Rattus norvegicus: one gene and its partners. The protein of the gene in region 4 purifies or fractionates together with the protein of the main gene of each other region. This does not show direct contact. Links are inferred from orthologs where the notes say so. Each region holds a gene or a part of one and is shown on either strand. Other genes may lie near its edges. The genes, in order: Cdc27, Anapc4, Lzts3, Dyrk1a, Kiaa0232, Ppp1r3f and Troap.

What was found.
Region 1: the proteins of Dyrk1a (region 4) and Cdc27 purify together in Homo sapiens (affinity purification with mass spectrometry; 3 studies listed by BioGRID and IntAct, with this or other methods). This does not show direct contact. The link is inferred for Rattus norvegicus from reciprocal best matches to the Homo sapiens genes DYRK1A and CDC27.
Region 2: the proteins of Dyrk1a (region 4) and Anapc4 purify together in Homo sapiens (affinity purification with mass spectrometry; 3 studies listed by BioGRID and IntAct, with this or other methods). This does not show direct contact. The link is inferred for Rattus norvegicus from reciprocal best matches to the Homo sapiens genes DYRK1A and ANAPC4.
Region 3: the proteins of Dyrk1a (region 4) and Lzts3 purify together in Homo sapiens (affinity purification with mass spectrometry; 3 studies listed by BioGRID and IntAct, with this or other methods). This does not show direct contact. The link is inferred for Rattus norvegicus from reciprocal best matches to the Homo sapiens genes DYRK1A and LZTS3.
Region 5: the proteins of Dyrk1a (region 4) and Kiaa0232 purify together in Homo sapiens (affinity purification with mass spectrometry; 3 studies listed by BioGRID and IntAct, with this or other methods). This does not show direct contact. The link is inferred for Rattus norvegicus from reciprocal best matches to the Homo sapiens genes DYRK1A and KIAA0232.
Region 6: the proteins of Dyrk1a (region 4) and Ppp1r3f purify together in Homo sapiens (affinity purification with mass spectrometry; 3 studies listed by BioGRID and IntAct, with this or other methods). This does not show direct contact. The link is inferred for Rattus norvegicus from reciprocal best matches to the Homo sapiens genes DYRK1A and PPP1R3F.
Region 7: the proteins of Dyrk1a (region 4) and Troap purify together in Homo sapiens (affinity purification with mass spectrometry; 6 studies listed by BioGRID and IntAct, with this or other methods). This does not show direct contact. The link is inferred for Rattus norvegicus from reciprocal best matches to the Homo sapiens genes DYRK1A and TROAP.

Annotation. Positions count from the first base shown.
Region 1 is NC_086028.1:89,925,420-89,929,395, forward strand, and holds part of Cdc27 (cell division cycle protein 27 homolog), read right to left. Parts: intron 2,227-3,976; coding exon 2,129-2,226; intron 1,477-2,128; coding exon 1,322-1,476; intron 1,219-1,321; coding exon 1,007-1,218; intron 1-1,006. UniProt on the Homo sapiens protein: Component of the anaphase promoting complex/cyclosome (APC/C), a cell cycle-regulated E3 ubiquitin ligase that controls progression through mitosis and the G1 phase of the cell cycle.
Region 2 is NC_086032.1:62,353,407-62,357,382, reverse strand, and holds part of Anapc4 (anaphase-promoting complex subunit 4), read left to right. Parts: intron 1-26; coding exon 27-91; intron 92-607; coding exon 608-650; intron 651-768; coding exon 769-845; intron 846-2,454; coding exon 2,455-2,555; intron 2,556-2,637; coding exon 2,638-2,689; intron 2,690-3,976. UniProt on the Homo sapiens protein: Component of the anaphase promoting complex/cyclosome (APC/C), a cell cycle-regulated E3 ubiquitin ligase that controls progression through mitosis and the G1 phase of the cell cycle.
Region 3 is NC_086021.1:138,310,523-138,315,278, forward strand, and holds the start of Lzts3 (leucine zipper putative tumor suppressor 3), read right to left. Parts: upstream 3,090-4,756; 5' UTR 2,966-3,089; intron 2,752-2,965; exon of another isoform or gene 1,947-2,751; coding exon of another isoform or gene 1,897-1,946; intron 1-1,896. UniProt on the Homo sapiens protein: May be involved in promoting the maturation of dendritic spines, probably via regulating SIPA1L1 levels at the postsynaptic density of synapses.
Region 4 is NC_086029.1:47,475,871-47,479,712, forward strand, and holds the end of Dyrk1a (dual specificity tyrosine-phosphorylation-regulated kinase 1A), read left to right. Parts: coding exon 1-547; 3' UTR 548-3,163; downstream 3,164-3,842. UniProt on the Homo sapiens protein: Dual-specificity kinase which possesses both serine/threonine and tyrosine kinase activities. Exhibits a substrate preference for proline at position P+1 and arginine at position P-3.
Region 5 is NC_086032.1:78,381,262-78,384,898, forward strand, and holds the end of Kiaa0232 (uncharacterized protein KIAA0232 homolog), read left to right. Parts: intron 1-412; coding exon 413-592; 3' UTR 593-2,744; downstream 2,745-3,637.
Region 6 is NC_086039.1:17,599,536-17,604,215, forward strand, and holds the start of Ppp1r3f (protein phosphatase 1 regulatory subunit 3F), read left to right. Parts: upstream 1-1,694; 5' UTR 1,695-1,760; coding exon 1,761-2,761; intron 2,762-2,768; exon of another isoform or gene 2,769-3,182; coding exon of another isoform or gene 3,183-3,214; intron 3,215-4,680.
Region 7 is NC_086025.1:132,111,600-132,116,375, forward strand, and holds the start of Troap (tastin), read left to right. Parts: upstream 1-1,888; 5' UTR 1,889-1,987; intron 1,988-2,232; 5' UTR 2,233-2,237; coding exon 2,238-2,381; intron 2,382-2,488; coding exon 2,489-2,675; intron 2,676-3,820; coding exon 3,821-3,981; intron 3,982-4,065; coding exon 4,066-4,203; intron 4,204-4,286; exon of another isoform or gene 4,287-4,380; coding exon 4,381-4,463; intron 4,464-4,776. UniProt on the Homo sapiens protein: Could be involved with bystin and trophinin in a cell adhesion molecule complex that mediates an initial attachment of the blastocyst to uterine epithelial cells at the time of the embryo implantation.

The DNA of each region.
Region 1 (3,976 bases), on a different chromosome or scaffold from region 4:
GTCAGTCACCTGAGGGGCAGGTTCAACATGAGCTGTGAATGTAGAGGGCTCCACCCCCCAGAACCACAGAGACAGGACAAGGACCTGAAGAGAACAGTGGCTATTTTTCTTAGAAACGGACTGCTGTTTAAAAGCTATGATCCAAATGATGAAAACAAACCCCAATTTTTGGAACAATGAAGACAATATTCTAGAGATTACTAGTAATTACTTAATAATTATCGATACAGTTATCCATTGGTCTCTGCAGATGCCCCAATCAATCTCCTGGTCATGCTATTTTAATAGCTTTCTGGCCTTGAGACTCCATTCATAGTCTATTTTTTCATGAGTTTGTTTGATAGTTCTGGTATGTTTGATAGTTTGATACGTATCCTTTGTGAAGTGTTATTGTATACGTATATAATACACTTTTAATAATCTTGACAACATTATTTCCCAATGACAGGTTTCAGAAATGAGGACTGGAAATGCTGCCATAAGCACACCATACACATACATCTGGAGGGATTCACTGCTATCTGTAGATGCACAGCCATAAAGACTGGATCTTTAATACACATATACACTAATTGATACATATTTAAAAAGCTTTAATATTTTCCTCTGCTTAATTTTACTTTGAGAAAGATCATCACATATCATAGGCTTTGACTTTTAACTCCTGGCTGAGGAACTTCTGACCTTCCTGCTTCTACCTCCCAAGTGGTAAAATTTCATGCATTTGAAACCTTGCCCAGTTTACAGAGTGCTGAGAATCAAGCCTGATCTTTGTGCATGCTCTACAAGCATTCTACCAACTGAGCTACATTCTCACCCTTTTAATATTTAATTCAAAAATGTTATAGATGTATTTTTTTTACTTCATTTTTTTGAAAACAGAACGCCAATCTGTCACACTGATTTGAGAGGATGCTGTTTAAATTAACTTACATTACTAGTAATAGGGTTCACCAAAGATCATTAATATATTAGAATACACTTTAAAATATCTTGTGTGACTTACCTTGGGGTTAATGGGCTAAGAGCAGTTGGTCCTCCTAATAAACTTCGACCAGTTTTTGGTTTATTTTGAACCTGTTTAGATAATATGGAAGGACCAGTTCCAAGGGGGACGTTATCTGGTGAAATTACAGCTGAATCAATGTAAGACACGGAGGAATCTGTATTCAAGGAGTACTTTGAATTGGAAGATTCTAAGTTCAGTCTGTTTAATTCCTGAAACAGAAATTTTCTACCATGTCACTTATGATACACTGCTAAGGCCCAATCACCCTTGCGGGTGTTCAGAATACTTGAGCATCAGAAGGAAAGCACTTACAATCGTGTCTTGGGGAGTTTCTGTAAGGACTGTCTCAGGCTGTCTGTGAGATAAACTGTGGTTAGATACTAGAGCTGTACACGTGTTGGGAAGACAACTGCTAAAATTCTGTAGAGATGTTAATTTAAATGTTTGGTCAGGATCTGGCTTCTCACCTGTGAAGACCAAAAGACAAAACAAAACAAAAAACTTGCCTCTGAGGGGTAATTTCTTTTCAAGTATACATAATTAGGTACAAATAAAGCCTTGGAGTTTCAAAATTCTCCTGCCCACTTATGTTATCAATCTTACCTCCCAAACGCCCAATCATTAACTTATTGTGGAAGTTAACCCTTACATTAAAGATTACATTTGGGAAATAAACTAAATTACAAGTTTTAAATATCATAACTCAGGGCCAGCATGAAGGTACAGCGGGGAAGGTGTCTGCTGCCCAACCTGAAAACCTCTGCATGAAGTAAGATGCGTTTTGAGATAGGGTTGCCTGCAAACTCCCCTAGTGGTGAAGCTGAATGCGGCTGAAGCTGGCAGTAAACTTAGATCTTGCTGCCAGAAGGCAGTGGCAAACACCTTTAGTCCTGGCCCTTGGAAGGCAGGGGCAGATGATCTCTGTGAGCTCAAGGTCAGACTGGTCTACAGAGTTCCAGAGAAAACCCGAACTCAAAAAATACAATATAAAACAAACAGAAAGGAGAGAGAGAGAGAGAGAGAGAGAGAGAGAGAGAGAGAGAGAGAGAGAGAGAGAGAGAGAAATAGAAAAGGGGAAGAGGAAGAAGACCGCTCCCGCCACCGTCTCCATGAGCTTACCTATTTCACATAACGATTCAAAGGGAGACCAGAGGAAAGGATTTAAACTAAGGCTCTTTTGGTAACATTCTGATCCTTTGGCAAGCCGATCTGTCTTGCTGTGGAGAGAAACAATGGATTAAATAAACTATAAGCCCTAAAGCTTTTCTTATAATTTTTGATATAAAAAACCAGGTAAATCTTATAAAAATTCTCACAGCACTCTTTGATGCGTCCCTAAATTATAATTTTCTAGAAGCAATAGAAGTCATAAATAACAAATCAATCCATGGGTATTAACACCAATTAATTAATATTAATCCAAGGTTAAGGAAAAGAAAAATACAGGGGCTGTGGCACAAGCACAAGGACCTGAGTTCGAACCTCAGCATCCATGCCAAAAAAAAAAAGCTGAGTGTGACCATAAATGAGTGTGACCTCTGTGCTATGGGAGGTGGAGACAGGAGGATGGATGCGATCTGGTGACTGCCAGGCTCAGTGAGTGAGTGAGTGAGTGAGTGGAGAAGGAGAGAGGGAGAGAGAGAAAGGCAGAGACAGAGACAGAGACTGGACCCTGATTAAAAGAAGGTAGAATGACGTAGAAAGATCAACCTCTCCCCTGGCCTTACTGCAAACATGCAACGCACAGAAAATACATTCACTAAAGAAATATTAAAGGGAAAAATCCAATGAAATCTCAATGTTTGAGGATTGATCTAAACTCCTGTGATTAGCCTTCCTATATTTGCTTTTGGCAATTCCAAAATATACATATTTTTCTATCTAATCTAATTATACTTTAAAAGAATTTCTACATTTTTCCTTAAGATTTTTATTTTTTCAACCTCCTTCCCCCATCACTCCCTGTAAATCATTTATTGCCCTCAAACATCTACTTTTTTTGAGAAGCCACCATATAAGAAAAAAATGACTCTTTTTGCTGTCAACTCTCCTCTAGGTGCGTTCTGTTACTACTCCTTCCCGCCCAGCATGGAGGACGGAACACAGGCTGCTGCCTTTATTCTTAACCAGTTAAAACTAGCATTCCCTCACCTGATCAAAATACTGCCCAAACCTTATTACAATACCTTTTGACAATAATAAAAATTTTAACTACTGTTTCTTCCTTCTCCATCACAAAATATGGTGGGGGCTGTGAGTTAGTCCCTTTAATATTCCCAGGACCAAGTCCTTACCGTCTTTAGGTATAATGGGAGAAGAACCTCAAGCATCCCTCGAATGAATGACAACAATAATCATAGCTGGACGACAGCACCCAGCTTCATTTCTTTCTTTTTTTTTTTTTTTTTTTTGAGACAGGTTTTCTCTGTGTAGCCTTAGCTGTCTTAGAACTCAAAGATTCATCTGTTTCTGCCTCCCAAGTGCTGGGACGAAAGGCGTACACCATTTTTCAACTCATTCTATCTTTCTTTATTCTAGTTCACAACTGTGGCATGAATGATTTGACATCACCTGAAAACCCCCTATTTAACCAGATAATTTATTCTACACAAAAAGTCATATGTATCCCTGAATGGCCCAGAGCTCACCACAAATACCAAGCTGGCCTTAAACTCTGCCTCCTGCGTGCTGAGATTAAAGGGATACACCACCATACCTGGCTACTTTTTTTTTTTTTCTTTTCTTTTTTTCGGGGCTGGGAATTGAACCCAGGACCTTGCACTTCCTAGGCAAGCGCTCTACCACTGAGCCAAATCCCCAACCCCCCCTTTTTTTTTTTTTAACAGCAGTTCTTTTTCTTTCTTTCTTTGTAGGCTTTAATCCCTTTTTTCATAATATATAACAGATGGCATTTATTACATGCAAAAAATCCCGATGGGCAGTTTTGAATATTTTCTATTTTTCTAC
Region 2 (3,976 bases), on a different chromosome or scaffold from region 4:
GTTTTGTTGTGTTTTGTTCGGTCTAGGAAAAAACTACAACCACATCGGTACAGGATGAGTTCATGCACTTACTGTTGTGGGGGAAAGCCAGGTGAGTGCACCTAGGTGATCTCAATGGGACTTTCCTTCCTATCTTCTCTTGACAGTAATTATTTCCTTTGTAAAGATAAAGTATAAAATTCCGGTAGAAGACCTCTACCCCCAAAAAAGTATGTGACTTTTTGGGATTTTTCTCTGAATTTTTCATATAAATGTGATGAGTGTGTGTGTGTGTGTGTGTGTGTGTGTGTGTGTGTGTGTGTTGGATATATAAAAGTTCCAGAACTTTTATGTAGCCAAGAGAGTCTTTTTCTTCTGATACCTTGGGTAAATAACTACCCAGGTAACTACTTCCCTTCTTCGTGGTCAGAAGTGTATAGTTCATTTATTTCTGGATTTTACTGGGACAATTCTCTTTTGGATAAAACACAATCCTCATTTTGACTGATACTACTTCTTCATGTTTATTTTGTTCCAAAATCCTGTTTGCACTTTGAAATTTAGGATCTAAATGGCACGTTTAGAGTTTGAATGGAGACATTACTAAAACACTTCCTTTTTCTTGTAGTGCTGAACTTCAGACTCTCCTGATGAACCAGTTAACAGTGAAGGTGCTGTTAAAGTCTCTATGCTTAAATGGCTGTGAACATATTTTTAATAGTTTTCTTTTTTGGGAATGACATATAGTATCATAGTTACATGCTAAATGTATTTTCTTCTCTTAATTAGGGCTTAAAAAAGCTTGGCCAGTCTATAGAGTCATCATATTCCAGTATACAAAAACTGGTTATAAGTCACTTACAGAGGTACGGAAGTGATGTAGAATGTTTTGATACTGCATTCATACATTCATGGCATTGGTCATATTTCTGCTTCCTTCTCTCCACTGTTTGATATTGTCTTTTCAAGCCTTTTCTAGCTATTTGCATTGGCATTTCAGGGAACTTGGCATACCCAAGATTGAATCAGTAATGACCATTTTGTGTGTGTGTGAAAATGGTTTTCTAACTCTTTTAGCCAGGCTGGACTTTTTAAGCATTTGGGCTTGTTTCCTATTTGACTATAAAATAAGCCACATAGCTGCTAGTACTTTACATATTTTTTCATTTAATATTTGGCAGTTTGTTCTTGTCATCTTCGTTTCACACCAAAGTTAGTTATGTGACTGGCCAGTGTTCCTCAGTGTTAGGCCACGGCTTGCTCCTGGGTGTTCCAGGTCTCCTGCTGCCTCTGTGCACAGCGGCTTGGGAGAAGCAGTTTGTAAGTGGCTGCTGACTGTTCGCTTTGTATTTTAACAACTCTTATGCTGGGTTTTTAGAAATACCTACAGTCCCTTGAGCTCCCTGAATACCTTCTGTTTTGTGTCTGTTTACTTCACCTTCCCCACGGAGTGTAATGTTACTTAAAAACGTGCAGTATGTTTGCTTTGTTCTTAAAAGCAAAACCTTTTCAAGGCCTTGAGCACATCTGCTTCTGCTTTACCCATGCTAAGTACCTTTTGGTTTTCCAAGCTTGACACTGTATCTCCCACTCAGGGAATTTTTTTTCTCCCACCACCTTTTTAAAAATAAATATCTTTCTTCTGATTTGTTCATTTATTAATTATGATGCTGGGAATGGAATCTAGGGTCTTGGGCATGTTGGTAAACAAACTCTACTATTGAGTTACATCCCCAGCTCTACCCAAGGACTTCTATAACCTTCCTTTCTTTTTGGAGCACTCTCACCTTCTTTCTCTTTACTCGAGTTCTTTAGCTCTTTGCTCCTTCAGAGAAGCCTTTAGGAGCTCCTGGGATAGGTCAGGGTCTTCCATTTCATCTGTGCACGACTGCTTATGACTAACTCTCTCATTACATTAAATGCTTCAGGGACCTTACCATGATGGACACCTTTCCACTGTGTCCTCAGCAGCTGGTGTCTGACATGAAGTCAGAGCTTAAGAATATTTGTGAGGATAGGTTAGTGTCGTATGTCTTTATTCCCAGCACTCAGGATGTAGAAGCAACTGGATTTCTATGAGCTGGAGGCCAGGCTGGTTTGCATAGTTCTAGGCTGGTCAGGGCTACATAGTAAGAGCCTGTCCTATAAACAGACCTGTCTGTTGTTGAACAAATGTCCCTGTGGTAAAGTGCCAGGATTAGGACTAGAGGTGCAGCTCGGTGGGTAGAGAGCTTGACAAGCACTGTGCGTGGTCTGATCATGATAGAGAATCTAATCTGGTAGTCTTGTGTTTTCATCTCAGTTGCCATGATGGATGAATAAATGATTCTTCTAGTTCTTAGAAATAGTTTTTGTAAATAATTCTTTTCTGTGGAAAGACTTAAGATTTGTTTGGTTTTATTTCTGAAATCAGCAAGTGATTGTTGACTCCCACCTTGGTGATAGTAATGGTTCTTATCTCTGCTCCTTTGCTAGTGGCTCAGAGTCTTTACTCTATCACTTGAGTGAACTTAAAGGGATGGCCTCATGGAAACAGAAATATGAACCTCTAGGACTGGATGCTTCAAGCATTGAAGGTATTGATTGACTTTCTCCATAGACTGCACTAGACACAGTTCACTTCCTCAAGTCACACTTTTTTGTCTGTTTTTTCTTTAGATGCTATTACTGCTGTGGGTTCTTTCATCCTTAAAGCAAATGAACTTCTCCAGTAAGTAATGTGCTAACCAAGAATGTGGATATGAGAATATTTACTTTTTCCTTAAATAAAAACCTACCAAGTTGACCTGATTCCCTTAGGAATTTTTTATCAGAATATGTCAGTAGCACAGAGATCATTTAACGAAAAACTTTATTTTCTGCTCTCTCCATCTTTATCCTTATTCTTACTCCTTGTCTCTTTCTGTTTACTTCCTTTAATTTATTCTCCTAAAGGCTTATTTCTAGTACCTACCAATTTTATTTTATTTTTTTGTTTGTCCTGATTTTCCTGAACACTGTTGGCCTTGTCTTACTACATTGTGTTGTATCGTGTAAGGAACTCCCTGTATTCCCTGAACTTTCAGCCTTTTAAATGCTGCAATCACATCCCCCCGCTCAGACTCTCTTGTTTTCTTGCACTGTCCATCATCTCTAGCACACCCTTCCCTGGCTTCTCTTTCTGAAGGTCGTGCACCATCCTAGCATTCCTCTGCCCCTCAGCTCGTCCCTTCACCCTGCACCTGTGCTTCTGTGCTTCGTACTTTTGCTTCCCTGTCCAGCTGTTTGCAAAAACACTGTCTATCTTGCTTTCCTGCATTAGACCAGGGCTTTCAGGAGAGCATATCCTAAAGTAACTTACTCAGAAAGATGTAGAAGGTAATCTTCCCCAACTCTTTCTTAACCTCGTATAAAATTGATGTGTTTTGTGGGACTTAGGATCTGAAGAAATAATTTCTCCTATAACTTTCTTTTTAAAAAAAGATTTATTTATTTATTTCATACATGTGGGTACACTGTCCCTGTATTTAGGCACACCAGAAGAGGGCCTTGGATCCCCATTACAGATGGTTGTGAGCCACCATGTGGTTGCTGGGAATCGAACTCAGGACCTCTGGAAAAGCAGTCAGTGCTCTTAACCACTGAGCCACCTCTCCAGCCCTCTCCTATAACTTTCAAAGCATTGCTCCATTACATTTAGGAGTTTTTTTTATTGCTGGTAGACAGTTACTTGCTTTCTGATAGCTTTGAAGTCTATTTTTTTAATTTCATTTCTGTCAAATATTAGTTTTACTCCTTGACATTTTGAAGTTTTATAGTAGCAATTCTAGGTGTGGGTCTTTCTATTCGTGATCTGATATTAAAGAGCTATCAAAATTTTAATATTAGAACTTGACAGACACCCTAAAATTGGGTGGTGGTACCAAATGCTTTCAATCCTAGAACTTAACAGGCAAAAGCAGGCAGATTTCTGAGTTTAAGGCCAGCCTGATCTACAGATCAAATTCTAGGACAGCCA
Region 3 (4,756 bases), on a different chromosome or scaffold from region 4:
AAGGAGAGGATGACGAGAAGGAAGACAGGCAGGCAGGAGGAGCAGCCCCAGCAGCCTGGTCCACTTGAGGGGGATCGCTGGAGCCCAGAAGTTTGATGCAACAATGAGAACCAGATGAGATTCCATCTCAAAAAAGAAAAAGAAAGGGGTTGGGGATTTAGCTCAGTGGTAGAGCGCTTGCTTAGCAAACGCAAGGCCCTGGGTTCGGTCCCCAGCTCCGAAAAAAAGAAAAAGAAAAAAAAAGAAAAAGAAAGAAAGAAAGAAAGAAAGAAAGAAAGAAAGAACAAAAACAAAGTGAGAAGGAGGAGGGAAGGAAGGAAGGGAGAAAGGAAGGAAGGAAAAGAACACAAGGATAGTTTCCAGTGCTGAAAAGAAATATTGCAGAAGGTAAAAGTGGAGTTGAAGAACATGGCCTGAATTTAGCAGCTGAGAACATCATTGATGTCTATATCAAAATGGTTTCAGAAAAGCCGTGTAAAGCAAAAGCAGATGGAGCAAAGGGATAACAAGGCGCTGGGAAGAGACAGCAGAGGCCTCTGTTAAAAGAGGACGGAGGAAGCCTTCACTGAAGAAAGTTTGGAATCAAAGGCCTTCCTTTTTTTTTTATTTTTTTATTTTAAAAGTAACCCTGAAAGCTGGATGTGGTGGCGTGCAGGCAAAGATGGATCAAGAGTTCGAAACCCACCTTGAGTGTAAACTGAGTTGGAATCCAGGATAGGCTGCATGAGATTGTGCCTCCAAAAACATACAGAGAAACATAGAATAACTAATCAACAGGCTGGAGAGATGGCTTGATAAGACTGCCTGCTGCAAGAGCATGGTTACCTGAGTCTGAATCCCCAGAAGCCACCTAAGAAGCCAGTTATGCTAGGGTCTGTAGCCACAGCGCTATGAAGGGCAGAGACCGGAGGACCTCAGAGAGTTGCCTGCTGCCAGCCAAGCTCTAGGTTCAGTGAGAGACTCTCAAGGGGATGAAGCAGAGAGAGCTTGAGCAGGGCGCCCCGATCCCTCTCTGTGTGCACACACATACATTTCACCAAAAAACAAACAGCATTTTGATAGGAATTAAAAACTAGATAGAAACACTGAAGGCCGGCACCCCCAGTGAGGCAAGGCAGACGCTAGCAAAGGAGCTGCACCAGAGGCTGAGGCGGAAGGAACAGCCTCAGGAGAGAGCATGCTAGCTGAGTGACAGGGGTAGCATGGTGAGTGTTTGGGGAGATCTCTATAAACTGCAACGTGCACAGTCTTTCTGAGCTCCAAGGAGTGAGCATCAGAGTTGGGAGGTGGTCATTCTGCTTCACACTCCCTCTACAGGGGCTCCTTCTCAGATTCTTAGGGTCCTAGACATTGCCCTGAGCCTCCCTTCTCAGGCTCTACGTGAGGATGGCTTTGTAGTAAACCCACAGGCAATTCCCATAGAGTTCCTTGCCATAGTTCTAAACTGTCATACTCAACACCTTATAACTGCTCCCTGCCCCTTGCCTCTTCCAACCCTGGGATCCTGCAAATTCTTTTCTCAAAACCCTGGTAGAGTGGGAAGGACAAGGAGTGGAGTACATTCCCTGGCAAATAGGAACTGAGGGGAGAGGAAGGGCTGAGCTCCCTCTGTAGGACAGTCTCCTCATGGACTGGCCTAGGTAGCTGTGATCTGCAAGGGCATCACTCTGGGATGATAACCTGTTGCCTGAGCCTGCCTCTGCTTCTGTTCTGTCAACCCTCAGTGCCTGTGACATTACAATATTAGTAGTCAAAGGGACCAAATGGACTCTGGCTAAACCCTTCCGTGAGCAGGTTGAGTGCCTTAGAATTAGTGCAGCATCATCTCCAGGTGTAAATCACAGCGCAGCTATGGAACCTCATGCAGACTGTTCCACCTCAGACTCTCACACCTACCTGACAGCGATTTTAAGGAGGAAACGGATTATGTGTAAAACGCCTGGCATTCTTTCTGGCACCCACAGTCAAGTAGAGCTTGTCTCTGAGGCCTTTCTTGATATTCATCCTGTATTTCTCCTGAAAACGGCTCTTCGCTCCACACATGGCCTCTTCTCAGCTCTCTGCCCAACCTATATTCTTCTGGAACCAGTCCAAATACCCCTCAGCATAGCATCCTTGATACCCAAGGGGTCTTGGAGCACTTAGCTCCGGATGCCCCAGGGAGATTTCACTGTGAGGCTTCTCCACTGGAAGTCTGTGTTACCCCAGGGCGCAAACGATATCTTTAGCGGGTCTCTGGACCCTGGCATTAAGAAAATGCAAGGCCAATGCTTGTGGGAATGTTGGTTATGACCATGTAAATAGGAAATGAATTCAGACATAGAGACAAGGAAAAGCTTCCAGGAAGGATTAAGGGAAAGGATTCAGGGAGCAGAACTTCTTGGTTGGGATGTGTGAGGAGAGATTCATCTTCCCTTGGAAACGTGGGCACCTGCAGGGGAAGAGGCCCATCCCCTAGATCCTGACTCTGATGAAGCCAGTGCTTCAGTGCTGAAGGTACCGACAGCACACCCCCACCCACCCGCTCACACAGGAGCCTGCCTCAGCTGTGCATGTGTGTGTCGGAGTCGGGGTTGGGGGGGGGGTCGCTATTCACTAATACATAAACCCCAGCCACAAATTCTCTGCAAAGGTGTCACAGAGGTCTCTGCGGTTGGAGAAATTCCACCCATACCTCCTTCGGTTCTCCACCAACGCGCGTGGCCCCCGGGGGGGGGCGGGGTGCAGAGAGAAGAGGTGACATAATCCGGGCCGCACCCCCTCCGGCCGCCACCTCCCCCCCACCCCCTGCGCCGGTTGAAGCGTCCATGACATCATCGGCCTCATCCCCCAGCTCCCGGTACCCTAGCAGCGGGACGCGCCCCCTCCCCAGCTTCCCACCCGCCAGAAGCAGAAAGCGCTGCAACGGACATGGTGACCAGAGGAAGAACCTAGAGGGGCACCCCGGCAGGCCTGTATCACTTACTCACTGCCTCAGAGTCCGGCGCAGAAGCTCAGACACCGGCGCTAGCTGTCCCGCTCTCTGGCGCAGCCCGAAGCCCGCCCCACAGGGCGCGCAGCGCGGCCCGGCTCTGCTCTTGGCCCCTCCCGCCCCGCGCCCGGCCCGCCCACCAGCGGCTGCGGCAAACGCGGGCCCGCCCTCCGGCCACGCCCCCGGGACCCGCCAATCCTGGACGTGGGTGGGACTCGGTGCCTTAACCCCTTTGGTCGCTGAGCGCTGGCCCGCCTGCCCAGCAGGCTGGGTAGCAGACACTCGGCCTCAGTCCCCGTTAACCACAGTACCAAATTCTTAGGGTCAGCCCCCAATTTCTGTCCTCCAACAAACCCAACAAGTCCCTACTCTCTTTGAACTCCATATCTGAATGTATGAGCCCTGTGGTTTACGGACAACCCGGCTTGGACTCTAGATTCAACTCCTGCACCAGCTATTCCCGGTGCAGCAGACTTCCTAATTCCTTCAAATCTGGAGCTGGACAGATGGCTCAGTGGTCAAGAGCACTGGCTGTTCTTCCACAGAACCCGGGTTTAATTCGCAGCATCCATATGCTGACTAGTTCCGAAGGATCCGACATCTTCTGCCCTCCACGGGTGCTGCACAAATATATGGTCCAAACAACCATAAACGGAATTAAAAAAAAAAATTAAGGGGGAAAATAAAGCAAAAAACCCTGAAGAGTCTTCAAACCTACAAGATGTGGGAGTGTGAAGGCACCTTTAGCTATGATCTCGCTGGAAGCAAGAGCCAATAAATTGACCAATTTAAAACTTGTCGCTACAGGAAATTTGTACTTTATACCTTGTGCCCCATGCCTGCTGTAAAACTAACAATCCCCACCCCAGAAAGAGATTGGGTTAAAGACTTCATCTTGACTCAGATCCACACCTTGGCAAGTGCATGTGGCATGCACTACAGGGGTTGCCAACCATCCAGAAAAACTTCCTGAAGGAAGCAGTCAGTCTTCAACTGTGACCTTGGTCTGATCAGTTTGAGAGAGCAAGGTAGGCCCACGCTTCAGCCTTAGCAAATGGCTGGCGGTTTTTTTTTTTTTTTCTTTTTTCTTTTCTTTTTTTTTCGGAGTTGGGGACTGAACCCAGGGCCTTGCACTTGTTAAGCAAGCGCTCTATCACTGAGCTAAATCCCCAACCCCAGCTGGCGGTTTTAATACCTGAAGAGTTTAGCCTTCCTATGACATAGGATAGATTTTCAATTTTTTTTTTTTTGCTTTTTTCCACAACTGTTTTTATTTTCTGTAGTGATTTTAATAAATTCTGTTTCCAGTTCTAATGATTGCCTTTAAATGTATTAAGTAAATGCCTTTAATCCCAGAACTTGAAAGGCAGAGGCAGGATCTCTGAGATGGAGGTCAGCCTGGTCTACAGATTGAGTTCCAGGATAGCCAGGGTTACACAGAGAAATACTGTCTCAAAAAACAAAAACCAAACCAACCAACCAAACAACCCCCCCCAAAAAAAACCAACCAAAGAATCCAAATGAAGTATATTAAATAAACTAAGAACTTATTTTGACAAATCATTTATATATTCTAGAAATCTGTGAACGGAGTGTCATGGAACTTGTGGTGATCACCCTGGTTTGTGGCCACCATATCACAAGATAAATTCCTTTCCTTAAGTCAGAGAGGTAATGTGTCAGCCTTGCTTTAAACAGGTAAGTCCAGCTTTGCTACTCTTTTAAGTGAGAAGAGAGAATGGGATATGGGAAGAATCCTCGAGACATTTTCTTTCTCCTCTTCCT
Region 4 (3,842 bases):
TCCTGTTCAAGAAACAACCTTTCATGTAGCCCCTCAGCAGAATGCATTGCATCATCACCATGGAAACAGTTCCCATCATCACCACCACCACCATCACCACCACCACCACCATGGACAGCAAGCCTTGGGTAACCGGACCAGGCCAAGGGTCTACAATTCTCCAACAAATAGCTCCTCTACCCAGGATTCTATGGAGGTTGGCCACAGTCACCACTCCATGACATCCCTGTCTTCCTCAACAACTTCTTCCTCGACATCTTCCTCCTCTACTGGTAATCAAGGCAATCAGGCCTATCAGAACCGCCCAGTGGCTGCTAACACCTTGGACTTTGGACAGAATGGAGCTATGGACGTTAATTTGACCGTCTACTCCAATCCCCGCCAAGAGACTGGCATAGCTGGACATCCAACATACCAATTTTCTGCTAATACAGGTCCTGCACATTACATGACTGAAGGACATCTGACGATGAGGCAAGGGGCTGATAGAGAAGAGTCTCCCATGACAGGAGTTTGTGTGCAACAGAGTCCTGTAGCTAGCTCGTGACTACATTGAAACTTGAGTTTGTTTCTTGTGTGTTTTTATAGAAGTGGTGTTTTTTTCCCAAAAACAAAAGTGCAAAGCTGCTTGAATCAGAAGGAGATTAACACACTGAACCGCTACGAGAGGGCAAAGCTGACTTTTTTTTTTAACTTGAAAAGATTGCAAAGGGACAATGAAGTTTTTAAGAGCCATGTCCACCCATCTTCATGGAGCGCTCAGAGTGTCCTCTTTCTGCCTCCCCCATTTAACTTCCATCTCCCGGTCACAGTGGGTTTTGTCTTTCTATCCAACAAAAGTTAATGTTCAGCTGTTGGTCTTGGTCATTTGCCAACTAATTTTAAAATAAAAAGGCACTGCACATAATTTGCATAAAGGGCCCCATAGGGTGTTTTGGTTTTTTCATTTTTATTTTTTCCCCTTCTCCCCTGTTTTCTTTTGTTTCGTTTTGGGTTGGGGGTGGGGTGGGAGATTTGGGTTTTTATGTCCTCTACACACTTGGGCACGGAAATGCAGTACTGTAAGGAAGAGGGACCTCCAGCACACACAAACATCATCTTCAGCTGTGTGAAAGGGACGATTGTGTTGGCGTTTGTAAGGCACACTAAGCATGCTAAGTGGCGGGATCAGGACTCTCCTGTCTGAACATACTGAGGAGCAAAGCAGCCATTGCGTGGGATCCTGTGGTCTCCTGTCGGAGAGGCCACAGGACGACGGGATGGAGCGTGACTGCTCGCCTTACCAAGGCGCACTGAGAAGCAATCAGCGGGTCGGTCGCTTGTGGCCAGTCCTGGGGAGGTCTGAGTGGTGGTCCTTGGGATAACCTTTGGCCTTATGGATTTGGACTCGGAGTTAGAAGAGCCCACCATTTCAGATGCAATCACTTGTGGACATGCGTTTGCAGACAGTCCTTAATGCTGAAAACACAGAGAATGGGTAATTCAAGAGGCCTTTCTTTTAAAATAGACTTTTGTGACCCACTAATTGTAAGGTATTGCCAGGTCACTTTGCGTGTGTCATAAAGCTGACTCCCTTCTTGGTTGAAGGCCACAGAGGTAGTGGTTTGCTTTGACGGAAATAGCTACAGCTGTGTCCCTTCCTGCTTTTACCTTTTCTTTGGCTTTTTCTCGGCACGTGGTGTCTCCACCATTTCTTCTGCACAAAGACGTCTTCTGTTCATCCTGAACATTTTAAAATGCAGAATTTTATGTGACTGCTTTTTTGCCTCACAATTATGCTGTGAATTTTACAAAAATTTATTTTCTTTTTTGATAATTTATTGTACCAAAGCTGTTTTTATAGCACATAGATGTCTGTAACCAATAATGTAGCCGTTCTGCACTTTGACACAAGGTGTACCTAGACCATTTTTAAATGTCAGTTGAAAATTATGGCTGTACTATTGCTTAAACAAAACTGGAACTGTTGTTGACTCCATAGCCAATCCACTTACAGCACTCTGTGTACTGGACAGAATAGATTGACATCTAATTCAAGATTACACCACCTGTCTGTCACATTCTGAATGTGCTCAGGCTTCTGAAGGGAAAGGGATGCTGGACCCAGAGGCTGTGGAGCCAGCAGTTGGTCTTGTTTCCTGATTAACTTCCTTGTAAACTTGAACTTGAGACCTTGACTGACCCGGCAGGTCCCCAGTAGGAACAGGAGGAAGGCAGAGCTCTAATGTGACCTGAAGTGAGCAGGCGGCACGAAGAGGCACCGTGTCTGGAGACTACTGCCTTCCTGTAACAGTCTGGCAGTGGCTAAATCTGTATTCACATTTAAATTGAGCAATTTTAGGGTGTGATACTCTGAGGCGGTTGAATTGGGAGAATGAAGATAGAGTAATTTCCCTGTCCAGGATCAAAAGAAGCCTAGAGAGAAGCAGTAATCTACCTCTGCCGATAACCTGTTGGAAGCAACTCAGCAGAACGCCACGTTACTTTTTATTGGTTAACTCCATGTGGCTCACTAGGTCACTTTTTTTTTTCCCTGAGCAAAAGGAGGTTTTTTTTTTTAATGTAAACTTTGACAACAGAAAGGCCCAAGCTCTGTGAGTGCAGTGGAGACTCGGAGAGCCCCGTTTCTATAAACACAGACACTTGGGGTGTTAATCAGGAAATCCATATTTATTTTGTAATTAAATGTCACGCCTGTGGATTGTTTTGAACTTGGTAGTTCCTGAGAGTTTGCGTACAGAGGCCTCTTGAGCACAGCACTGTTGGGAGGGATCAGCGTCTGCGGCTGCGGAGCCCAGGCCACACCACGTGGCTCAGGTCATTCTTTTTTCTTTCTGTGCTGGTTGCCACATTTTAGCAAGCACCAAAAAAGAAAGCAGTTTTTAAACCGATATTTACATAAAGAAAACCACAGAATCCAGTGCTTCTGCATACTGTGTTATGTTGCAGTCCAGTTTTGTGTGCTTTACTACACAGTTTGGTTACAGGACTTCTGTGCATTGTAAACATGAGCAGCATGGAGAGGCTAAATGCCTGTGTTCAGATTGTAAGATCTAGTCCGGACTTGCTGTGTATATTGTAACGTTAAATGAAAAAAGACCCCCTTTGTATTATAGTCATGCGGTCTTATGTATGATAAACAGTTGAATAATTTGTCCTCAGAGTCTTTACTATGCTTTTTTAAAAATTAACTTAAGGAAAAAATGTAAACAGTAAAAAAGAAACAAGCAATCTTCCTGTGCAGTGAAGCAGTTCAGGTCTGTTAGGTCAAGCAGGCACAATTTAGCGACCTGTGTAAAGGGAAAAGCCGTGTGAGGCAGAGAGGCATCGGCTTCAAGTGTCTTTGAAAGTAAAGATTGGAGGTCTAACAGATGATTTGGTTTTTAAAATGGATTCTTGACGTGAGTGGTTATCATGTTCAGTTGCTGCTCCCATGTGGTACTGTCTCCGTGTTGAGAGCATGTGGGAACCCTGCACTTCTCCTGAGGCTCTGGCCTGTTAGGGTGAAGGACAGAGCTGAATGCTGCCTCCCTAACTCTGTTCCCTGGGGGACACAGTAGTCACTTTGCTGTACACAGCCTGGAACCCCTGCCATGCACGCTCAGGCAGTTTCTAACCCACAGCCTTCTCTTCTCAGTTAGTCTGCACAGGGTCTGTTGAGCGACCTCCAGAAGGTAAGAAACTTAGGTAGACACTAATGTGATTCTGGACACTGAGTGGGAACAGAGAACTAACTGCCTTTTTGTTACAGGATCCTTTTTTAGTTAGGTAACAAGCTTATTTTGTGATACTGGACAACAAACCCAAGACTTATTTATACCTAATAAATAGTAGAACTACTT
Region 5 (3,637 bases), on a different chromosome or scaffold from region 4:
ATAGCCAGTGTCCTCATGTCTACAGTCTGAAGCTTTGTCCTTTGGTTTGTTTGTCTGCTGGAACCGTGCGCCCCTGTACATGACCATGTCTGTTTACCCAGGAGAGCCTGTGTGAAGTTCCACGGGCTACCCTGAGCCAGGTACTCAAAAGACTTGTTGAGAGTTAAGGAGTCCCCTTGTCTTACCCTAGTGTAGCCACATAGATTCCTGTGACTCTAGATGTGCAGAATTAGGATTAGACCCTTCAAGGCAAAGGAGAAGGTGTTCCCTGAGACCGTGCGTCTTCGCGTCTTTGTAGCTTTCTATAGGATATGTCAGTGGTTGCTTCTTCTTCTCTGTCTGGGAGTAGACTGAGCCTTTGGGGGGAGTTGTCTGATTTTTGGTGTATTGAAAATTGTTTCTTGAATTGTAGGTGTCTTCTGTTTATGAAGCAAGATGCACAGGAGAGAGGGGCTCTGAGACAAAACCAAATGGCCTCCCCGGGAAGATGTGTTCCAGTGCCAGCTCTGACGCGGGCGACACGGGCTCCGAAGCCGGCGGAGAGTGGGTGGGCCCCAGCAGAGAGGACCTCTTCTCCAGAACACACCTGTGACCCTGCAGAGTAGTAGCAGTCATTGCACATGCTCTGACGGGAGATTGCCCGCTGTGAGGCCTGTTAGTCTAAAGCAGTAACTTAGGCTTCCTCTTCCATTAACTGATCCGCACCAGTGATTCCCTTTCTCTTCTTGCTTACTTTAGCGTTGAGGACAGCTGTCCTGTTGAAGATTTGTTTCCAAGCTGTTAAGTTCTTGCTCTCTGAAGTAGACTAGACTGTGCTGTCCAGTGAGGAATGGGTGTGCATGTGCTTGTCCTAGTGCGTCCCGCTTCTGCATCGCAGCTGCAGGCCTCCCTCTGGCGGCTGTGTCGCCATCACCTTGTCAGCACTGTGGCGACAACCGCCACCGTCCAGAGACTCTAGCTCTGTTCTCTGAGCCAGGAGATCAGTCCTCCCCTGCAGTGGGTCAGGGCCTTGCTGAAGGAGGAGGGAAGCATGGTGACTCATCTGCAGGCTCATTCAGAAGATCTCATGGACCTTGCTGTAGGAACACAAGGGTGTGCTTTAGAGACTTACAGAATACTGTGCTTTCTCTTAGGATTCCCCTAAAGTACTATGGAAGTTACTGTGGCTTATGACTTTCTTGCTAGCTGAAGAAGCCAAGGATTCGAGGCACGGGGTAGTGGATAGATGAGTTCTGCTACTGCAGTGTGTCTACAGCAGGCACAATGTGGTTCTCTGAACTGTCCCTCCAGTGCATAGTTGAGGACCTTACTTGCAAATTATTATCTGAACTTAAGTCTCCAAGTGAACTTAAAAACATTTGACATGTGCAGTAAGGACACCTCTTACCCCAAAGAAATCTTCGGCTGCTGCAGCTAGCTGCTCCTGTGGCTGTGATGTAGTATAGCTTGTATCTCATTTTGTGTTTGAGAGAATGTTCTGGGCAAGTTGTGCTTGCGGTGGGCTGGGGTGGGCAAAGGAATTTCCCACAGACCTGTGTGATTGCTGTTCTGATCATCGCCTCATGTGACTTGGTGAAGCAGGCAGGCAGCAGGCCTCACAGTCACATTAAGTGTGCTGATCACCTTGAATCTCTCTTGCAGCACTGCCACAGGTGCTAGTAGGGCCAATTGTGCAAAACCTAAACATCCAAAATTATTTTTCTCTTTTAACCAGCTTGTTGTTTTTAAAAACACCTTGTCTATGACATGGATTCAGCATGTCCAGAACATCAGGAGTGGCTGAGAGGTCTGAAGTAGTTGAACTGGCCTCTCCAGTAAGTGGAGCAGCACTGGACATGTGTGTGGCTTCTTAGCTGGGAGTGGAGCTGCCCCTCAGGCCTTGCTGGTGGTACTTGAGTTTGTTGCCTGTTTCTCAGGAACACAGGAAACACCATGGAGACTGTGCAGGCCCTGTAGTCCTGTGCGTCCTCATCATGGGAGCCTGGCTTGCTGGCTGGGGCATCTTACCACCTTAGGGTTTGTTTTCATACAGCACATCTTCTGACACTCTACAGTGGCTTGTGTGTGCGTGTGTGCATGTGGAAGGTTTCATGTTGCTCTTATTTATTTACAGGTATCAGATAAGTTTTATGTATTTTTTCTTCTGGAGCTTCCTAAAATTTGATTAACATCTGCACTGAAATATAACCTATCATCAAAGGCAAAAAGAATTGAAATTGTAAATTCCTAAAATCAATGCCATCACGATTACCCTAGAAATTGTTGCTATGACCAAATGGATTTCATACTCAGCCATGAGCTTGGGTGACCTGGACAGCCATTGTTCATCAGGAAAGGCTCCAGGTGGCAAAGACACCTACGTCTTCGGCTGTGGGGAGAGGCCCTCCACAGGGGACACGGTGGGTCATCAAAGGCAAAGGGATAACTAGATTCTGTATTTGGTTTCTTTTTGTAGTTAAGTGGCTAAAGCTCAGAGGCTTTGGTACAGAATTAAAGTGTGGTTTTAGTTTTGTGAATGGATGATCACAAAAAGCATTAAAAAAAAGTTGGCAAACGCTGAAACGCACTGTGGTATGAAGCGCGTTGCATATCCGTAGCACTGAACTATCAGCTCCATTCCTGGGCTGATTTTTTTTTTCCCCCGTGGTTGTATTGTTCTGATTTCACGTACACCAGAGTAACTGATTTTTTTTTGTTTCGTTTTGTTTTGTTTTCTTGTGGAGTTAACACCAAATAAAAATTTCAAAAATGTTTGTTGTTTTTATTTATCATAGCAATCCTTTAAAGTGAATAAACAGCTTCCTCTGAACTGAGAAGAACAAGAGGAAGCCAGATCCCCTCCTCCTCCTGTGAGCAGTTAGCCTCTCAGAGCTGGGAAAGCAAGTAGGTAGGGCCTGCTTGGCAGCCAACTGGTCCATATCCCCAATAGGCCCTGTCCTCAGAAGTCAGCAGGATGGCTTAGTGGGAAAGGTGCTTACTGAATCGAGTTTGATCCCCAGGATCCATAGAAAGGTGGAGAGAGAATGGCCTACAAAGTTCCCTTTGACTTCTTTTTTTTTTTTTTTTTTTTTTTTTTCTTTTCTTTTCTTTTTTTCGGAGCTGGGGACCGAGCCCAGGGCCTTGTGCTTGCTAGGCAGGCGCTCTACCACTGAGCTAAATCCCCAACCCCTCCCTTTGACTTCTGAATGCATGCCTAGAATGTACTGCACTCACACAGTACACAGTAACATGCACAATGTGTGTATATACAACAGCAATAAACAACCAGTCAGTGTTTGAACAAGAGTGAAGGAAAACGTCATATGTGCCTATAGGTATCTTGTAATAACTCTCTCTAGGTCTGGGTGCCCACAGGAGCACAGCCATGCTACAGACTTCTAGCCTACCCTGCAGTCAGAACGGAAGCTTGACGGCCTGTTACCCAGCAGAGATTGAGCAGGGGCCTCATTGACAGGTAGAGCATTCCTTTCATCTCTGTCACTGAACTTCCTAGCTCAGTGGGGATCTAAGGACATGACATTCTTCCTGGGAACTAGCAGGTACATCCCATGAGGTGGCCAAGCCCCTTTCCCTGTTGTTCCCCGAGTCCAGATGTGCCCACAAGTTGTGCTGACAACCCCCTCTGCTTTGCGTGGGT
Region 6 (4,680 bases), on a different chromosome or scaffold from region 4:
CCTTTCGTGACCCGGACACAGACAGGAGGAGAAGAGAGACTATGGGGGCCAAGGGATGGCCTTCCTGTTAGGGGGGGTTATGAGGGTTAGATAAGAACCTTCCCTGAACCTGGCATTTAGCAGTCAGTAAGTCCTAATAAGTTAATAAACAGGAGTGGGGAATGTGTGAATGAACATGCTGACAAAATCTATGCCATTCCCACAGGAGGTGCGACCTTAGATGAGGAATGAAAAGAATTCACTAGATGAAAGAGATAGATGGGACAGCACTCTGATCAGAGGAGGTAGGGAGGGGGGAGAAAGAAAGCCACTGTGGGGTGAAAAGTGTCAAAATGAGCAAGAAGGGGAGGACTCTGATTTGAACTTACATTAGCTGATCAACTGGTGATGACATACTGTCAGAGTAAATGTGTGCTAAGTGTGAGTTAGAAAAAGCTAGTTCTTCAAAAAAGGGTTCTATTTTCTATTTTGTGATCGATTCATGCAGTGGTGCCAAGTCCTGAAGAATCTCAATGCTCAACTCGGGACTTTAAGGGACAGTCAAGAATGTTCTTGGCTAGTTACACTGGCCACGAAAAGGCTGGGAGGTGTGTGTGGTGGTGTGGGGCCGACGGGACACACCCAGTAACTGATAGGAGAACTGTTTTGCTTTGGTCTCACAACAACCGCGCAGTCTGGGTTTTTAGGGACTCTGGGAATTCGTGGGGCCATGGGGAGTCATGGAAGAATAGGGAAAGGTCAATCCATCCCCCCAAAGGCCCGATCTTATTGTTTGACTGAATTTTGATTCTGTGCTCAATCACTCAGGCTTAGGCTCAGCCTATGCACCTTCTTCTACTTTAACCTATTTATTGGCTACTCATGCTTTCCTTCGCAGCACCTACACTACCATCTTTGGGCTTGCTTTCCTATCTTGCCTCCACAGTATCCTTTTGGCTACATTTGTCTAGCTTCGGCTTTGGTTAATCCTATACTGGCACTGTCCCTTGAGATATCACAGCCTTCACCCTGGCTCTCCATCTCTTTCTCACTCCCACCTTCACTCCTCACATGCCCTAGTGCTCCCCCCACCCCCGCTACAGCCCCGCCTCCGTGTCTGCTCACACACTGCCTTCCAGACTCTGTTCAGTCTCTGTATTGGCTAGATCCACCCTGTTACCGCCTCTTGAAGCCATAGTGTGCGCTCACAGGACTCCCCATTGGCTCGTTGCAACCATTATCGTCACTCTGTCTCTACATCATTCGCGTGCAGTTCTCCATTGGCTGTTCTTTTTATCTTTCTTACGTCTCACCGCCTACACAACCTGCGGATCTCCCAGTTTTTGGACCTCTGGGTTCGCTCCCCGCTGCCCCCATCGCCTGTAGCCATTTCATCTTCCCACTGCCCACCGTGCCGCTCGTACTCAGACTTTCCTACTAACTGTCATACTTCTGCTAGCTACATCTTCGGTCCCGCATTAACCCCACTCAGGCCTCTCCATTGATTCCGTGATCATCCCGCCTCCCACACCGCCCACGCTCGGGCGTCTTCATTGGTTGCTAGCTTCTCCTGCTTGTCAGTCACCTTACGTCACTCCCGCGTGGCTGTCCATTGGTTGTTGGCTGTACCTGTCTTTATCTCACCGCCTACGCTCCACTGGAGCCCCACCCCCCCGTCCTGGCGTTTTCATTGGCTGCCCGCCTTTTCAGGCCCTGCCCCCGCCGGTCCCACCGCCGGTGCCGTCGGTGCCGCCGCCGCCGCCGCCGCCGCCGCCGCCGATATGGCGCGCACGGCCCCTGTGGAGCCACCGCTGCGGCATCCCGCGCCCCCGTCGCCGGTTGCGGGAGAGCCCCGCGCCTCAACTGAGGCGGCGGTGGCCCCGCGGAGGGTGCTGTTCGCTGACGAGGCCCTGGGGCTGCCTCTGGCGCAGCTACGCCGCTACCGGCCGTGGGGCGGGCCCGGGGCGGGCAAGATGGCGGCGGCGACCGGGCAAGATGGCGGCGGTGGCGGGGCTGATGAGGATGATGATGGCGAGGATGGGGATGAAGGGGAGGAGGAAGAGGAGGCTTTTCCCGATCCCTCTCCGCTGTGCCCCGTTCCCGCTGGCGGGGGGTTTTATCTGGTGCCCACATTTTCGTTGCCGCCCGCGCCGGGCCGTCTGGAGCGGTTGGGGCGCGTGATGGTGGAGTTGGAGGCGCTGCTGCCGCCTCCTGGAGCGGTTCCCGGGGGTTCCGGGGTGTGGGTGCCTGGGGGGCGCCCGCCAGTAGTGCGCGGGTTGGTGCGCGTGCTGAACCGCTCCTTCGAGAAGGCGGTGCACGTGCGGGCCTCACACGACGGCTGGGCTACCTTCTGCGACCACCCAGCGCGCTATGTCCCACGCAGCCCGCCTGGGGCAGGAGTGGGAGGAACAGGAGCAGGAGATCCCCTCCTGGATCCGGGTCTAGGCCTGGGCCCTGGCCAGGTGTCTGCCTCCTCACCCGACGACGGTGGCCGCACTGACCGCTTTGCCTTCCAGCTGCCCTTTGCTGAGGGTGCGGGCGATGGGGCGCGCCTTGACTTCGTGGTGCGCTATGAGACCCCCGAGGGCACTTTCTGGGCCAACAACCATGGCCGCAACTACACTGTCCTGCTCCGGATCGCACCCGCTCCCACACCCACTGATGCTGAAGGGCTGCCCCAGCAGCAGCAGCTGCAGCAGCTGGAGCCACAGCCTGAGTGCCAGGGTCCTGTGGAGGCTGAGGCCAGGCAGCTGAAGAGCTGCATGAAGCCGGTGAGGCGCAGGTAATGTCTGCCAGCGCCACCTCCACCAACACAGGGCTGGATGTAGAATGGAGGACAAGCCTCCCATCCCAGAAGTCCCCCCTCCCCCAGGCCTGCTCTCCAGAACAGGCAGGAGGGTGCAGTCGGTCAAAGAGTAGTGGAGACCAAACATGTGCTAGGCACTGTTTTAAATACTGGGGTATCATCCATTTAGTGAGTTCCACTATAAGGCCCTGAACAAGACAGACACCTTCCCTGTCCCCAACCATCCCGCAAGGCTCCTCTGGGAAACAGAATGCAAAAGCAAACAAGCAGATAAGATAAATAGGGCTAAGGTTAGTGCTGAGAGGAAAATACTGTAAGGCTCTGGAGGGAGTGGCTGCTGTAGACGTGTTGAGGGTGAGCTCTCGTGAAGAGTCCCAGACGGTGATAAGGAAGAGTTATGGAAGAGCGAGTTGGTAGAATTTGGACCAGGTAGGACGCTTTCTGAGGTGGCATTTAAACTTGAGTCCAGAGGGGTACGGAGCAGTGGTGCGCATACATGGAAGGAAGATGTAGGTAGTGGGAACAGCAAGTTCCGAGGTCCTGACCTGGTTATGGATTCGGTGTGAATGTCAGCCAGTGTGCTGGAGTGGAGAGAACATGCGGGTGCGATGGTGTGGACTAAGGGTCCCGGTGTGGGGAGTGGAATCTGATTCCTATCTGACCCAGCAGGAAGCCAGAGTTACAGAGGTAGAGAAGCTGGTTGAGGAAGTGGTGGTACTTGGCTTTTTAGTTACAACCATTTCTGGTCTTGAAGTCTGTGCACACCTTTTTACTGTTCCTCTGGTGGTCAGAGAGGCCTCCTGCGGAGTTTAAGGAGTGAGGCTATATTCTCACATAAAACATTAGTTTTGGCGGAGGCTGGAACAGATGAGAAGTGGACTTGAAGCTCATCTCTCTTTTTAAAATTTGCACACCTCTTATAAACTTGAGGGGCTGGGAGAAAGACCATTTATAACCCAGGAGACTGAAATAATGCTTTTCTAGGTCTTTACCAGGGCTATAAGTTTGTCAAGGGCAACAGCCAGGCTTGATGCCCGGGGTCAGTTAGATTCCCTCCGAAGTGCATACATCTTCCTGTTCCTATGAGAAATGGGAGTGGGAGGTTGCTCTTTTGGCCCTTGGAAGCTGCATGATGGAGCAGGGTGCTATGGGACCTGCTGGTTGTGCTTAGGGCTTAGACTGTGAGTAGTTCTGAAAGGTTTAGCTCTTAGTGGATGGACCTTGAAGCATTAAGAACTTGGATTCTCCTATTAGATTACCTGGGTTCAAACCCCAAGCCTGCCACTTTCTAGTGTGACCGTATCCAATTCTTAACCGCATCATGCTGTCAGTAACTATCCTCTTCTGTAAAACAGGCAATTATGGAAGTGCTGCACAGGATGAGTAAAAGCACTATGTTGAGCCTAGTTCAGAGTTGTGCCATAAACCTTGTGCTATAGTGGTGTCAATGATCGTTAATGTTTAGATGCTCACGCATAGTCTTTGTATGTATTCCTTTCCCAAACTCAGCTTTGTTGTCTGGTCTTGTCTCAGTTTTCTCATTTCTCAGAGAGGAATGGTTTTCCCATTGTGTGGTTGAATTGGACGCAGCACCCGTAGGCAAGGTAACTGAGGCATAATTGTAGCCGTAAAAGGTCTGGTGGTCAGCATTTCCTGCTCTCCTGTAGGAGTGGTAGGGACATTCTCCTCTTGAGGCCAGCTGAATGTGCTGTTGGTTGCAGGCGCTAGAGTGAGTCCTAGTTAATGGGAAATGGGGAGCTTGGAGAGGTGCTCCAGCTTGCTCAGAGTCACTCAGGTAGTAAATAGCAAGCAGGGACGCAGTGTTAGGGCTGCTACTTTAAAAACAAATCCCACGTTTCACTGTTGGTGCTCTTAGTTCTTCCCTTTGTCCCCTT
Region 7 (4,776 bases), on a different chromosome or scaffold from region 4:
GACCCCAGTCACTGAGGTTTTAACCAGCCTTTGCGGACACACCTTCCTTTTGAGAATTCTCCTTCCCAGAAGACAGAGAGCAAGTGGGCAGAGTGGCATGGCACAGAATGCTAGGTTTAGTGTGCAGAAAACTGAGGCACAACATTTCAGAAAATTTCTCTACTATAAGAAATGGATTTCTGTGGACAGAAAGACTGGGGCTCCCCTGAGGGCTCAAGGAGCTATTCAGAAGAGAAGGCAGAAAGATGTTAAGAGACAGAGAGGTTGGATGACTCCAAAGTACATCGTCTCTCAGACACAGCAGGACTGATGCACCTATGAGCTCACAGAGGCTGTGGCAGCACCCACAGGTTCACGCCAGACTGGTAGCCAATGTTTTTGTAGCCTCCTTGTCTCATATGGCTTTGGTTGGCATTATTTGTCTAACTGGTATTTTGCTTGTATATTATGGTTTCCGACTTTGTGTTTTTATAGGCTTTGTGTTTTGTGTGTTTCTTGTGCTTTTTTTTTCTTTTTCTGTTCTGGTGTTTGTTTTCTAAGGAAAGTGTGGGTGGAGAGGGAAGAGGAAACTGTTTATCAGAATATATTGCATAAAAATTATTTCTGGTGAGACGGTTCAGAGGTTCAGAGGTTACGAACACTGGCTGCTCTTCTAGAGGTCCTGAGTTCAATTCCCAGCAACCACATGGTGGCTCAAGACCATCTGCAATGGGATCTGGTGCCCTCTTCTGGCATGTAGCTGTACATGCAAATAGAGCATCCCTACATTAAAAAAAATATATAATATTATATATTATATATATAATTTTAAATATTTTTCAACTAAAATCATATGTATTTAAAATAAAAAGACTGGAGGGGTTGGGCAAGGAGACTATTTGGAAGACAATGGCTTTCTAGACCAAGCTGGCTGTCTTTGCGTGCTACGCTTTGTCTGGCTAAACAGCTGAGTAGATGCTCTAAGATATGAAGTCCGTAGGTGTGAAAAGAGATGGTGTATGGAAGGGGAGATCCGGAAGCACTTGTTCCTGGCTTGCTTATCAGTGTCCTTTAAACTCCAAACGGATGTCTATGCAGCGGGTGTGCAATCCTTGCACAATGGAAGCTGAAGCAGGAAGCTGCGAGTTTGAGGCCAGTCTGGGATAGAAAGAGCTTTTGTGTGTGCGCGGGTGGAATGAGACATTTGTCTATTCTCATATCCATCATCTGCCAATGAGTAGCGGGTGAGCCCTCCAGACAAGTGGAAGGCAACCTGAAGATGCAGAGATCTCCCCACACTCGAGGAGCCCCTTCAATTCTGAATAACAAAACTCCAGCCACCCTGGGTCTGACCACACCCCACCAGGTTGTGGGGTCCGAGTGGACAAATGATTTCTTGGCTCCTCGTTCTTGATGGGTTCAGTTCGGTTACCTCCAGCCCTCTCGCCCATCAGGTTCCTCATCCCCCTTAAGAAGTGCCCATGCTTCCTGAAGTGTTTCCCAAAACCCGGCCTTGCACTGCGTTCAGAGTCTGGTCAATAGTGTGCTCGATGGCCATTCTTTCCCACAATTCCGCGGCCTTCAAGAGAGGACAGACCTCGCTCGGCTGGCTCCTGATCTCGCGAGAGTACTGTAATGCCCGTTGCAGCCCAGAGTCGCCTTCCCGGGCTTCAGAACAGCATCCTCCCTGGCTGTCCCCCAATCCGGCCACTCGCGCTCCGTTTTCGGATTGGCTGAAGAGCTGGTCAGTTGTTTTCCCATCCAGAAAACGTTTCGGCGACTTGTCCCTCTCTGGCCCCGCCCTCGAAGCCTGCGGATTGGTTGGCTGCGTGTGACGTCACGCGCCTTCGCGTCAGCGGGAACTAGCCAATCACAAGCTTGGCGTATTTTACAAACCGGGGAAGCCTCAGCAGCAGCAGCAGCAGCAGCAGCAGCAGCAGTAGAAATCCAGAAAATCGGCGAAAAAAACCTGAGAAAGTAGAGGTGACCCCGAGGAGCTCCTGGAATGGTGCGGCACGGGGATCTTAGGGGAGTCCTGCCGAGGTTCCTGGGGAGGAGAGCAGTTTGGGGCGAGATAGCAGTCTTGGGTTTCTGGAGGAGTCGCCAGGAGAGAGGCCTTGCTGCCGGTGTGGGCTTCTAGGCACATGGATTAGGACCAAGGGAGAAAAATCAGGGATATCAGCACCCATAGCCTGAGAATGATTTGCTTCGTTCCTCAGTCCTGTCTGCCTTTTTCTCTCGTCTCAATTATAGCCGCCATGACTACCCTCCAAACCAGTAAGGACCCGCACCTCCGAGGTGTATCTCCCAACCCTAGCAAAATTCCAGTACTCTCTCAAAGATGCTCGGATTTTTCCTCAGCCAAGTCGGGCTCTCTGGACCAGGAGAACCAAGATCCAAGGGTAAGAGGGGCATGATGGGTGAAAAGAGTAACCACAAGGAGGCAGCTCCCGTCTGCACTGAACCCCCACCTCCGCGCTGAACCCCAACTTTTTCCCTCTCCCCTCAGAGATCAGCGAAGAAACCACTGCACCGTACTCAACGTCCCCTCACTGACACGGCAGGCCTCAGATCGAAAGCCCTGCACCAGACAGAAAAATCACAAAGACTGAGGATCACTCAGCCGCGGAACCCTTTGGAGGAACTCAAGCCTAGCTCTGGGGGATCAAATGTGGGGCTCACCCATCCCCAGACAGGTACCTGTTGGAGGCCGGGGGACAGCCTACTTGGCGGAGCAAGGATGAGAGACACAAAGTGGGGGTTTTGTATGCCTTCTGGTCTCTTGCATACTGTAAGAGTCCTGGGCCTTGTCCCGGAAGCTCTGTGCTCTATGAAGCCATTACAGCTAAGTGCCACCTTTTGCCTGGCATGGTGACTCATGCCTCTAATCCCAGCACTTTAGGGGGCAGAGGCAGGTGGTCTCTGTGAATCGGAGGCCTTGTCTATATAGTGAGTTCCAGGCCTACACAGTGATATCCTGTCTCAAAAGAAAAAAAAAAAAAATCAACCATCAGTCACATCTTCTGGGCCTTTTCAGCAACCCCAATCAGGACAGTCACCATCAATCGCTCAGCTAAACTGAGTCTTTATAATCTGCCCAAACTTCAGCTTTAACTTCTTCCTTTCAATAATAGTTTTATATTTAAAGATTTATTTTTATTCTGTGTGAGTCCATGCAGTGCCCATGGAGTTCAGAAGAGGACATCAGAATCCCTGGAGCTAAAGTTATAGCCGGCTGTGAGCTATAATTGGCTGTGGGTGCCGGAAATATAACCCAGGTCTCTCAGAAGAACAATGGCTCTTAACCAATAAGCCATCCCTCTAGCCCCTAAGAAGAGGTTATTTTTAATGGTGTATGTGTGGGTGTATGTGATGCTCGTAGAGGACAGGCATTGGATTGTCTTAGAGCTGGAGTTCCAGGCCAGCCACCTGACATAGATGCTGAGAGCTTAAGACCAGTCAGCCCTATGCAAGAAGAGTAACGGTGTGTTCCTAGTCCTCACGGCCTCCCTCCAGCCCCCGGTGATATGCTCTGTATGGCAAAACCTTTGTTTTATTTTATACCCCACTGTCCAGAGCAAAGCCTTACATGAAATTCTTTAAACATTGGTGAGCTTAGGTTCAACCCAATGATCTCTTTCTGTCTCTCAAGATGGCTCTGGGCTCTCTATGAGCTGGCGGCTGGCCTTGAACACCTGGTTCTCTTGCCTCAGTGTCCTAAATTCTGGGATTGTAGCTGTGTGCACCACATATCCTGGCTCTGATGTTTCTTTTGCTCACTGTTGCTAGCCCTCAGTGTCCTCTATTCCTGTCTCCTCTAATCCTGTCTCTTCCCTTTCAGAGGCCTCAGGGGCTATAGAGTTTGTTGCTGACCCTGCAGCCCTGGCCACCATCCTGTCAGGTGAGGGAGTGAAGAGCTGTCCCCTGGAGTCCCGGTCCAGTCTGGCTCAGAGAGTGCTAGTGCGTGAGAGAAAGGGAGGCACCCACATCCAGAGGGGCCAGGTAATGAGACGGATATGAGACCAGGCTAGGGTGGGCTAAGGGGTAAATTCTGAGTCTTGCTGATAGCCTCTGTCGGCGGTCCAGAGTGCACGGTCTTCCGCATACCTGGCTCCCAGAATCCGCGCCCACCAAGCGGATCCCGCCAGGGCTTCCTGCTTCTCAAGGCTGGAGGGCCCAGGGCTCCGAGACCGCACTTTTTCCTCACAGAGGTCAGAGGCTCTGGTGAGTACTCTTGAGGGGCTGACTCTCAGTCCTTCTAGAAGCTTCTTCCTGGAACAGAGTAGGCCTTGGGACAACATCTCAAGATGAAGCCCTGGGCTGTTGGGAGAGATGGGGTGAGGTTTGTGTCAAGCTCGGGGTCTGCTTCTGACTCTGTCCTCCTGTCTTGTCCTGGATCAGAACCCACGTGCAGGTTCCTCCTTTCATTCCTCCGCTCGCCCCAGTTTACAGGAGCTCAGAAGAGAGACCTGTGGCGGTAGCAGGTACAGAGAGAGTAGATTCCCTTTGGACCCCAGAGGGGATGGGCAAACATGTCCCTGGGTGGGGCAATGGGGTTCAGACTCTGATGGCTGGGCCTTATCTCAGACGTGGAGGAACTTGGAGGTACACGAAGGGCTCTTTGATTGGCTACAGTAAATAGCTTTTGAGTTTAATTCCCGACGCTTACCACTGCTAGCCGTGCAGGCTTACCTTAACCTGTCTGTAGCTTGGCTTCCGTATCCATTGGCCAAATGAGGATAGCACCAGTACTGGGAGAAGCTACTGAGATGGTGCTGGCAGAGCCCTTCGCTAATT